Drosophila melanogaster: one gene and its partner. Changing the gene in region 2 together with the main gene of any one other region gives a genetic interaction. Each region holds a gene or a part of one and is shown on either strand. Other genes may lie near its edges. The genes, in order: tutl and Kap-alpha3.

Region 1 (4,818 bases), on a different chromosome or scaffold from region 2:
ATCTCGGACATATCAAGATTCGGTAAGTAAAAGAAAAGCTGCCTTTAAAATTTTAAATAAGCTCAAAAATCATGTGGAATATAACCTATATCTGCTGCAAAATAGGTTACAGGTTAGGAAATCCCCTTGATAGATTGATAGAACAATATGTAAATATTTCGCTTCCATTGAATAATATTTTGTTTATACCAAACAGGAAAAGAGTATATACAAATCTCCGATAATCGAAGCTGTGACCCCAATTTCTTGTTTATGTTTACACTTATGGCGCGTCGCTTTTGCCTGCATTCGTGTGCGAGCATAGTTATCGCTATCGTTATCGTTATCGCCGCTAAGCGAGGTCGTAACTCGTTTGAATAGGTTACCAAGTGACCTTAGTCGGCAGTCACGCAAGCACCCACTTACAGCCTTTATATATTTACATGTAAATATCTGGCATGCACCAAATGTAATGGTAAATCGATCCACCGATGATTGCTGGCATTTCAGGGACCCGTCGACAGACAGGCCCAAATTTACTCCGTATTTCCTTGGAGTGGGCGTAGTAAGCCCATTTTGTGTGGAGCGAAATGGGCAAACAACTACTTCATTTATCAATATTAAGCATTTGTGGGGCGGGGTGGAAATTCGAATATTCGAATAAATGACTGCCAAGAGGCGAGTGGAGCGATTGAAGCGAAGCGCAAAGCCATGGATCCGTATCCGTATGGTGTGTCCCTCTATGGGAATTGCAATTTCCTGGCCAACGGAACCACTAATAACCCTTTGTCTTTATCATCTGTCCCCGTCTTTGTCGTCATCGGTTACACATGTTTGCTGCTTTGTTATTTCGAACTACAGATGGTCAGATCTAGCCACGCTGGAAGCTCCTCCTAGCAAGATACAAAGCCACAAAACCAATCAAGCCCCTCCATCCGTTTCGAGCCACCGAAACTGCAATCCCCTCTCGAAAACCGATCCCTTCGATTCCCGCCTGGCATTTGCCGTTTGTTTTCTGCTTTCTGGCCCAGTTCAGTTCGGTTCGGTTCGATTGTTTGTTTTTCTGGGCCAGAGTACTTTTTTCTGGCCTTTTGAAAATTTCGTAATTGAATTGGGCCCGTAATGCTCGCAACCGCACTTATTTACACTTGCCGATGTAATTGAAATTTCATAAATTTTAATTAAATTCTTGCCTGCGGACATTGGAGCATTTGATTGTTCTGTTCGATGTGTGTGCAATTGGCGATGTTTTAGTTTTAGTTGCTGCTGTAGCTGTTGTAGCTGCAGTAGTTTTCCCCGAGGATTTCGCTTACATTACAATTTAGAGTATATCGACATTTTGGACCCTAATGGGTGGTGACTCACCTCACTTGCGCAATCATTATACGACGTGCCCAGATCCAATTCTATAGTTGTGTACTGGCCAATTCCAAGAGTCCTGCACTCCTGGAGTCCTACAGTCCGGGAGTCCTCAAGTTGGTGAGTGACCAGGCGAGTTTGATTGCTCAAGTCGTAAAATCCGGGAGTTGTTTGCTGTTCGCCTTTCGTTTTCGGCGTTTACTGGGCGCGTTTTACACTTTGTTTACAGGATAATCGCATACTTTATGACACTTTCCACTTCGAGTACACTGGGCGTATGCGTTTGACGAAGGACTTTGAAACCGTTGACTTTTACGTGGGGCTGCACAAAGGATTTTTATGTTATTCCAATTTGATTGGGGGAAATGGTTGATTGAGTGCTTCAGAACAAAGGCAAAACTCATAAGACATAAGGCGTAAAATGAATGGCGATGCGAGGACTCTGCGTATAAACGCGCCTTTTATGCACAACAAATAAAATCAATACGGCGTAAAATCAAAAATATGAGCATGGGTTGTGGCAATTGTCACCACTGGGTCTGGTCAACAAATAAAGGTCCTTCGGCATTTGTGGATTTCACTGCGGCACACACTCCGAAACACGTGACTCATGGGTCAATGCGGTGGCTACGCCTTATATGTACGCCCTATACGAACTATACGCCTTATATGCATTATATAATTGTCACTTGGCGAGCTGCTTTATTAGCATCCTCCCACTGTTTTTTCCACTTGGTCGGGCCAAAATCACAGGTCGAAACCATAAACTGAAACTCACAGCTGTGCGTCGCCGCCACACCAATTGCCTGGCGTTTTTTGAAAACTCCGACTGACGACGGGCCTGTCGAACAGCTCGCTGGAAAATCGCGACGGCTGCACAGGCCAAAAAGCAGAAACAGAGAGAACCAGTTTTCCAAGGCAGTGGGGAAAAGTGCTCAGCGGGAAAATATGGGGTTTAATTTTTTGGCAATTTTTTGAGCAAGCTATGCTCGAAAAGTTATCAAGCTGGTGCTAAAACATTAGGATAGGAAACTTGTTGTTTTAATATTTTCAACGCTGCCTAACATCATTAGATATTTCCATAAAGGATATTGGTATTGATAAAGTTTTAAAAATAAATATTTAACAGACTCTTTGTTGAAACTTTAAATATTTTTAAAAATTAAAATATTCTTAAGTTTCTATATGCTGGTATGTCTGTTGGAAAAGGTCCTTCTATTTTCCCTTCCAAGCAATCAGCTGATGCGTAACGGCTATCTTGTTGGCCAAAATTCCCCAATAACGGTAACTGCTCACTTGCGCAACTGTCCTGGCCCGAAAAACCCCCCCATTGAGAACTTTGCAGCCAGTACAAGTTTTCAGAAATGTCTCTTATAACTCTCTGTCACTCTCTTTGCGATCCTTTGGGAAACTGGAATTTTTCTTGCAGCGCTGTTTTTCTTGGCTGTTCTGCTGCTTTTTTTTTCTTCCCCATTTTCAAGTTTTGCACCCGCGCGGGTGTGGTCCTGTTTTTCCGATTCTGGCCAAAGGAGCGTGAAAAGCGCCGAAAACGCGAGCGAATTTCCACTTCAGCACAGACACACACACATATGTACGCACACACACGCACAATTGGGAGAGCGTTTTCCCACCCCTTTTCCGGTGGTGATTTGAATTTGTGACGTTCCGCTTGATTGCCGCCCGCTTTTTGCTTTGTTTTTCTTTTATTCACTCATCATTTTCCATCAATTTGCGTATCCATAACTTGAACAATTTTCCTAGTCGCACACAAACACACGCACACACACACAGAGACACTGGGAAAAGGCGAGAGCGAGACAGCACTTACGGCCACTGAACGCTGCGATTGAAATGGGATTTCTGATTGCTTTGGACTCTACGGATTTCGTCCGCGTTCACGTACGCCGTGGTGGAACAACAATTGAGTACTGAATCTGCGTCAGGAGTGCTCGATTTGCCACTCGAAAAAGAGACGGCATTTGCTGCACGAACAGAGAGATTGCGAGAGAGAGAGAGAGCGAGAGAGCGCGCTGCTTCGGCGAGAAAGAGAGAGCCTATACTCTCTTATACTATATGATGCTGGCTAATGCCATATTCCGATTCAGCTTCGGGCCGAGCGAATGTGGCCAGCGAACCTGTCCTAACCCTTTGACATGGCTTTCCGACGACGACGGACCGGACAGCAGAGAACCACGAGAATTCAGGGGAGTGCAGTGCACTCGAAACAAATGCGGTGTAATTCAGGCCAGGAATATGTTTCCAGCAATTGTTCTTGTAGAAATGAGACCTAAGAAAACACCTAATACATTCAGATATTTGCATGATTTCCAAGGCTTGCTTGAATATTTGTTTTAGCGCTGCAGTTACCAAAACTCTTTGGTCAACACTTTACCAATGTTTTTTTTTTTTTGTGTGTGGGAAGCCCTTCTGCGCGGCCGCTCGGCTTCATTGAATAATTATCTCGAGTTTACCTGTTCTCAACTGTCGGCGGGCCCTTCGATGTGACTGTGACCCAAAAACCAGTTTCACCGCCAAACTCCCAACTCGTTTGGCGCTCAGAAAAGGCGAAAAGCGCCTGCGCAGCCCGCTCAAAGTTGAAAGAGTGAAGCCATGTGGAAATGTGTTAAGTGCCAAACACCCAAAACATTTCTGTTTGAGTAGCCAAAGAACCGTAGCGTAGGCCCCTGCCATGGGCCATATAATTGGATAATGCGAGCGAACCCCCCGCTTAAATGGCTTTTTAATTATGCCCAAGAATGTGGTACATCATCAGCGATGATCTATGATTTCTACCTGCATTTGGTGGTCCGTGCAGCCTCGACGGTCCATTCGCATCGTCACTTTTGGCCAGTCATAAAGTTCCCACAACTCAGGGTGAGCCTGACCTACGTTGTAATGCTTCAATTAGCCAACATCTGCTGCCGTGGCCGAGAAAACCCAGTTTCCCCGTGCTCGAGCGACAGAATATTTCCCTTGCAGACCGAGCGAGAGGAAAACTCCGCCACTGGAAGTTGGGAAATCAGTGCGACTGCGCGAAAATCTGCAAAGACAAAATCCTGCTGAGAGACGCCCTCAATATGCTGGCCTCTTTCTCTCTTTTGCTCTCTGAGAATCACCACCCGATTCGGCACCACCCACTCGCAACACCCACTTTTGCCACCCAACAACTTTGGCAAAATGTTTCGTTTTCGCTGAATTTCACTTGGTTCACAGGCCACTCTGGCGAATCCTTCGCAGGACCTCCTTCTGGTGCACTGGCACACACACACACACACACAAGAGAGTACCTACTACATATATGTTGATTTTGGCACTCTGATTTATGCATTATATTAGCGTTGATTTTTAGCTGCAATAAATCTGCACATAATCGGGGGCTACATGCTATAAAGCCATGCATGCCATCCCGTAATCATAATTCACCCGGTCCGTTAATAGGTCCTTCCCCACTCCCCCTCTCCCTAACACACCAACGACGAG
Region 2 (5,718 bases):
AACCTTGTCCTTGACCTCTGCAGTCATGTTAGCCACACCGGGCATAGTTCCCTGTTTGAACATGTTAATGGCATTTCGTCGCGCAATCTCGAGCAAGCGCTTTTTGTCTATGCCGAGGTCACGCGAGCGAGATCTTGACTTTCGGTTTCTCCTGGTGTTGGATTCGCGCACGTTACGCTTGGGTGAAACCGACAATTCCTCCTTTTCATCATAAAAGCTGTTGTGCGCCCGTCTACGGCCGTTGGAAGCCTTCTCCCGGAGGTACGACTCCTCATCGGAGAGCGAGATATCGGAGAGATCTTGTTCCTGCCGTGACTTTGTGCTCGCTGATTCAGATCCTTTCAAGCGATCCGCTTCACGTTGCCCGTTGTAAAAGCTATTGTTGGAGCGGACGCGTTCCCTTTCATGCTCCTTTTCCCGTTCCCTTTCTCGTTCCCAGTCGCGATGCTTCTCCCTTTCATGTCGTTCGCGCTTTTCGGAATGACTGGAAGGCTCCACAGCGCTGCGCTTCCGGCTCTCAGACTTTTCTTTCTCCTTCTCGGAGGGAGCTTGTGCTGCCGTAAACTTATCTTTGGATTTGTCCCTATCCCTGTCCCTGTCCCGATCCTTCTCCTTTGATTTGTCCGTAACGCGGTCCCGATCTTTCTCCTTAGATTTGTCCCGGTCCCGATCCTTCTCCTTGTCTTTGACTCTGATGTCTTTATGTTTGTGCTTCTTACGTTTATGCTTGTGCTTGCCTTCCGCCTCCGAGTCGCTGCATTCGCCATCTGACTTGGTCGTCTTCTTTTTCTTGGCCTTCTTATCCTTCTTCTCCTTTTTCACCTTTTTCTTTTTCTTGAACAGATTGTCGTCTAGAAGTTCCTCTGGTGGAGCGGCATTGAATACGCCGAACAGCTCGGCAAGGATCTCGTTCGAGGACTTTACAGGCTTAATGTTCTTCTTGTCGTCCGCCGACGCGGAGCTCTCGCTCTCCCCCGACTCGTCATTGTTGCCCAGTTCATTGCTGTTGCTCCTCCGCATCAAAGTCACCATCTCCGCCTTGATCTTGGCATTCATGGCCCGGAGTTTGGCCTCCACCTCTGCGTCCGGTCGTTCGCTCTTTACCTTAATTGGCGGAATCTTGGTCAGTGCAAGTGGCTCCTGAACCGGAGGATTTGTCTGAGACCCCGCCACTTGAGGCGTTTCTACGCTCGCCCCTTTCTCTGTGTTCTCCGTCATTGCTCTCTCGCTGGGCGCGGATCGTCCTAGTGTCTATGCATGCTAATAGATTACCGCAACAGATCAGCGAATTTGTCGCTGTTCGCGATTAAGCGTTTTTCTGCACGTCTTGCTTGGACAGAAGTTTCAATAATAGCGATGACACTCGTAATGGTATCTACAGTTCGCAGGGCTCAAAGATATCGATACTTTGCTAGAGTTGTGTAATAGTACCGTCACGACAAGCGCCTGCTTGAAAAAACCTAAATAATAAGAATTGCTATAATGCTTTTTAAGACAAATGAAATATTTCCTAAATAATGTTCAACTGGTTCATAAGCTTACAACTCCAACTGAGTAAACTTAAAATTTCTAAATTTAAAAAATAAGTCGACATAAATTCAGATCTGACGATTGGTGCTTCAATCGACCCTGCCTATAAGTGGGCAGTCCCGAATTGCCAACCGCAGCCAACTTCACTCACGTCGTTGTCACTGATTGCAATTTTAATAAAAAGGAAAGAATTTTATCACTTTTAAAAGACGTAGAAAGTGTATGTGTCGTGGGAGAAACCCGATTTACTTGCTAAAAACGTAAGTATCCTCTACCGAGGACCAAGAGAAACACTTTTTTCGCCCGTTGCATTGCTAATTTTCATGTATTTTTTCGCCATTTCCTTTTTTCAATGCCTGCGCCATCGTGTTATGCTGCAACTGTGTTGGTCGATTCTACGTTATTTTTTCGTGGATGTGCGCTGGTGTGGGTGCGAATAATTTTTCCCATTGGCTGGTGTGCAATTGAAACAAATTATTAATTGTTCATCGAATACGCTAGGAGGCGTACGTCGCCAACATCGCATTCAATAGTTTTTAAAAACTCACTTTTTAACAGCCAATCGAAAAAGCAAACCCTTATACAAGGAAATCAGACAAAATGACGTCTATGGAGCAAAATCGTTTACAAAACTTCAAAAACAAAGGGAAAGACCAGGATGTGAGTAGTTAGAAGTTACCGCTGAAATGGGAAACATTATAATATTAATTAATTTGCAGGAAATGCGACGTCGGAGAAATGAAGTCACCGTTGAGCTGAGGAAGAACAAGCGCGAAGAGACCATTCTCAAGCGTCGCAATGTGCCCAATTTGGACTCGAACACAGATGAGGAGGAGCAGTTGTCCTCGTCCATTGACCTGAAGAAGCTGGCAAAGGCAGCCGCAGACGCCACCAAGCCGGAACAGCAACTGGCCGCTGTTCAGGCTGCCCGCAAGCTGCTGTCGTCGGACAAGAATCCACCCATCAACGATCTGATCCAAAGCGACATTCTGCCCATCCTGGTGGAGTGCCTCAAACAACACAATCACACAATGCTCCAGTTCGAGGCCGCCTGGGCCCTGACCAACATTGCCTCTGGCACATCGGCTCAGACCAACGAGGTACGTTCAGCTTTCCCTCTCAGCACTTTCTTTGTTTTAATGCAATATAATCCTGTATAGGTTGTTGCCGCCGGTGCCGTGCCGCTCTTCCTTCAACTTCTCAACTCGCCCGCTCCCAATGTTTGCGAACAAGCCGTGTGGGCCCTGGGCAACATCATAGGCGATGGTCCTTTGCTCCGCGATTTTGTCATTAAGCACGGAGTCGTGCAGCCACTTTTGTCGTTCATCAAGCCAGACATCCCCATCACATTCTTGCGCAATGTAACATGGGTTATTGTGAATTTGTGCCGCAACAAGGATCCGGCTCCCCCGACAGCCACCATTCATGAGATCCTGCCCGCACTCAATGTGCTCATTCATCACACCGACACGAACATCCTGGTGGACACGGTCTGGGCCATCAGCTATTTGACTGACGGTGGCAACGATCAGATCCAGATGGTCATTGAAAGTGGAGTTGTACCCAAGCTGATACCACTGCTGGGCAACAGCGAGGTCAAGGTACAGACAGCCGCACTGCGGGCTGTTGGCAATATTGTGACTGGATCGGATGAGCAGACACAGGTTGTGCTCAACTACGACGCGCTCTCCTACTTCCCGGGCCTGCTCTCGCATCCCAAGGAGAAGATCCGAAAGGAGGCGGTTTGGTTCCTTTCCAATATAACCGCTGGAAATCAATCGCAGGTGCAGGCCGTTATTAACGTGGGTCTCCTGCCCAAAATTATCGAGAACCTAAGCAAGGGCGAGTTCCAGACACAGAAGGAGGCTGCCTGGGCCATCAGCAATCTGACCATTAGCGGCAACCGCGAACAGGTCTTCACCTTGATCAAGGAGGGCGTCATTCCGCCATTCTGTGACCTCCTTTCATGCCAGGATACGCAAGTTATAAATGTAAGTATAATTTGCGTCTCTTCACATATTTGTTTTGAGTAACACATTCCCCTTTTTTTTAAAGGTTGTTTTGGATGGTCTGAACAATATGTTAAAAGTGGCCGATTCTCATGTTGAGGCGGTGGCCAACTGCATTGAGGAATGCGAGGGCCTGGCCAAGATCGAGCGTCTGCAGAGCCACGAAAACGTTGAAATCTACAAACTAGCTTATGAGATCATCGATCAATACTTCACTGATGAGGTGAGCTAACAGTTTAAGTCAACCGTTTGTTATTATTCTAAAACGTTTTTGATGCATCCTTTACAGGGCGAACAGACTAACATGGCACCGACCTCCGACGGCGCACAATACAATTTCGATCCACACGCCGATAGGCTAACGATGAACTCATTTAACTTTTAACGATTTAATCAGAAAGCAGCCGCGCAGTAGCAGTGAAGTGAAAACCAAACACGTGCAACACCACATAATTTGGCGTTTATTCGTACACAATCGCTTGTGTATGAACAAGCCCGACGAGCCGTCAACCAATTCACATAATAATAGCATTATATTTTGTCCACCACACAGCAGCAATTAGACAGCCGGGTTCGTTTTAGGGACGAGAATAGGAACTCTGGAGGATACACAACGGATAATCCGCTGCAGCCGTTTTAGCTTCTCTCAATTCTGTGTTAACAAAATTACAAAATTCAGACATACACACACTCTTGGGTGTGTGAATGTGCAATGCAAGGACTTCTCCGATTGAAGCGACTCTGCTATAGATCATCCAAAATATAAACACAGGAATGAGAAACAGATTTCAAAAAGAATGTAGACCTATTTGATTTATATGAAATTATTTAAATATTTACGCTTCTGATTTGTAATTGAAATTACATATGTATACATTTCTAACATGAAAACGATAAAAGCAAAAGGCAACTCATCATTTTGTTTCCAGGCAGATAAGTTAAGCGGAATTTTATAAGAACAAGTGTGTCGCGTTTCAAGACCAGGCATTCGAGTTGTCCGTCGGCCGAGCTGTTAATAATTAGCGTTTATTTCAGCTAGTGCGTCACTTGAGCACGTTTCCCATTAATGCGCAATTGCCCGTCTACCTGGCAGGGCAGCTGAAAAATCGGCTTTCACATGGCAACAGATCGAGTAAATATTTGTAAACAATCAGATCGAAAATCGAATTCGGATTGCAACAGAAGGGACTGGGCGTTTCCCTCAATTGAGGGATCAAATTGTATTAATGACTTATCTGCAAAGCATCAGTTTCGCTAGTGTTCTGTATACAGTATAGGATACTTTAAATCAGTTAGATTTAGTTGAGTGATGTGATGTATGTTTTACTTTTAAATCTTGAGGAGTGTGGGAATAAATAGCTCTTCATTTTACTTTTACATATTCGTTCTTTCATATAAAGAAAGTTTCGCCTGGCGGTTGTTTTTGGAACTACTCAGAATATTTACGTGTAACTTACCCATCATCTACATGGGCTTCTATAATTATTTATAGGACATTCCGAATTCTGTGATGAAAGTTAACTTTATGAAAGTGGTTCCAGCTCGTGCAGTACAAATCTTTTACTGAAATTTACCTAATTTTTCGAAAATAGTATACTTTGACTTATATATGCAGGCGGGACAACGTTTACCAACACTAGAATTTGAGATGGCAGATTGTCTAGCTGTAGTACCCCAGCTGTTGCGGTGCTAAAATTATTTTTATAATTGTGTAATTGTATGTGTTTTAATACGTCATTTCCTGTGAGATTTAATAAATATAAGATTTAGATATTAATTTTTTTGTATTAGTGAAAAATGGCGCATCACTGTTGTCGCGTGACTCCTAAAAAACTTGCATTTGCCTGCTATTTATAGAGATGCTGCACTTGTATTGGTAGCGATGCATTCGATTCAGACACATTTGCTTCCGTCAACATTTTGCTGCGGAAATTGCGGAAATTGGCACACTCTCCTCAAGGTCAAGGATGTTGTGCGATAGCTAATGAACCTGTGATCGTGCAAAAACCTGTTCCTAAAGATGAATGCATGATTTTTGCACTTTTTAGAAAGTCAAGTACGAGTTGTAGGTACAATTGTATAGGTATTTCCTTAACGTGTCAAATTAAACACGTTAGAAAATAGCGCGCTCAGCTGTTCGAGTTTGCGGCTGTGTGGGTGCTAGCTCTCTCTTTTGCTC

What was found.
Region 1: of Kap-alpha3 (region 2) and tutl, changing one enhances a phenotype caused by changing the other (phenotypic enhancement), as found in Drosophila melanogaster (one study listed by BioGRID).

Annotation. Positions count from the first base shown.
Region 1 is NT_033779.5:4,281,601-4,286,418, reverse strand, and holds the start of tutl (turtle), read right to left. Parts: upstream 3,272-4,818; 5' UTR 3,167-3,271; intron 2,170-3,166; exon of another isoform or gene 2,117-2,169; intron 1,719-2,116; exon of another isoform or gene 1,661-1,718; 5' UTR 1,345-1,660; intron 1-1,344. UniProt on the Drosophila melanogaster protein: Essential protein that plays a role in the establishment of coordinated motor control. In the developing eye, involved in axonal targeting of the R7 photoreceptor.
Region 2 is NT_033777.3:9,573,680-9,579,397, reverse strand, and holds Kap-alpha3 (karyopherin alpha3), read left to right. Parts: upstream 1-1,664; 5' UTR 1,665-1,750; exon of another isoform or gene 1,751-1,790; intron 1,791-1,924; exon of another isoform or gene 1,925-2,088; 5' UTR 2,089-2,130; coding exon 2,131-2,190; intron 2,191-2,249; coding exon 2,250-2,630; intron 2,631-2,690; coding exon 2,691-3,521; intron 3,522-3,585; coding exon 3,586-3,762; intron 3,763-3,828; coding exon 3,829-3,924; 3' UTR 3,925-4,914; downstream 4,915-5,718. Other genes in the region: Son RNA binding protein, read right to left, coding at 1-1,218.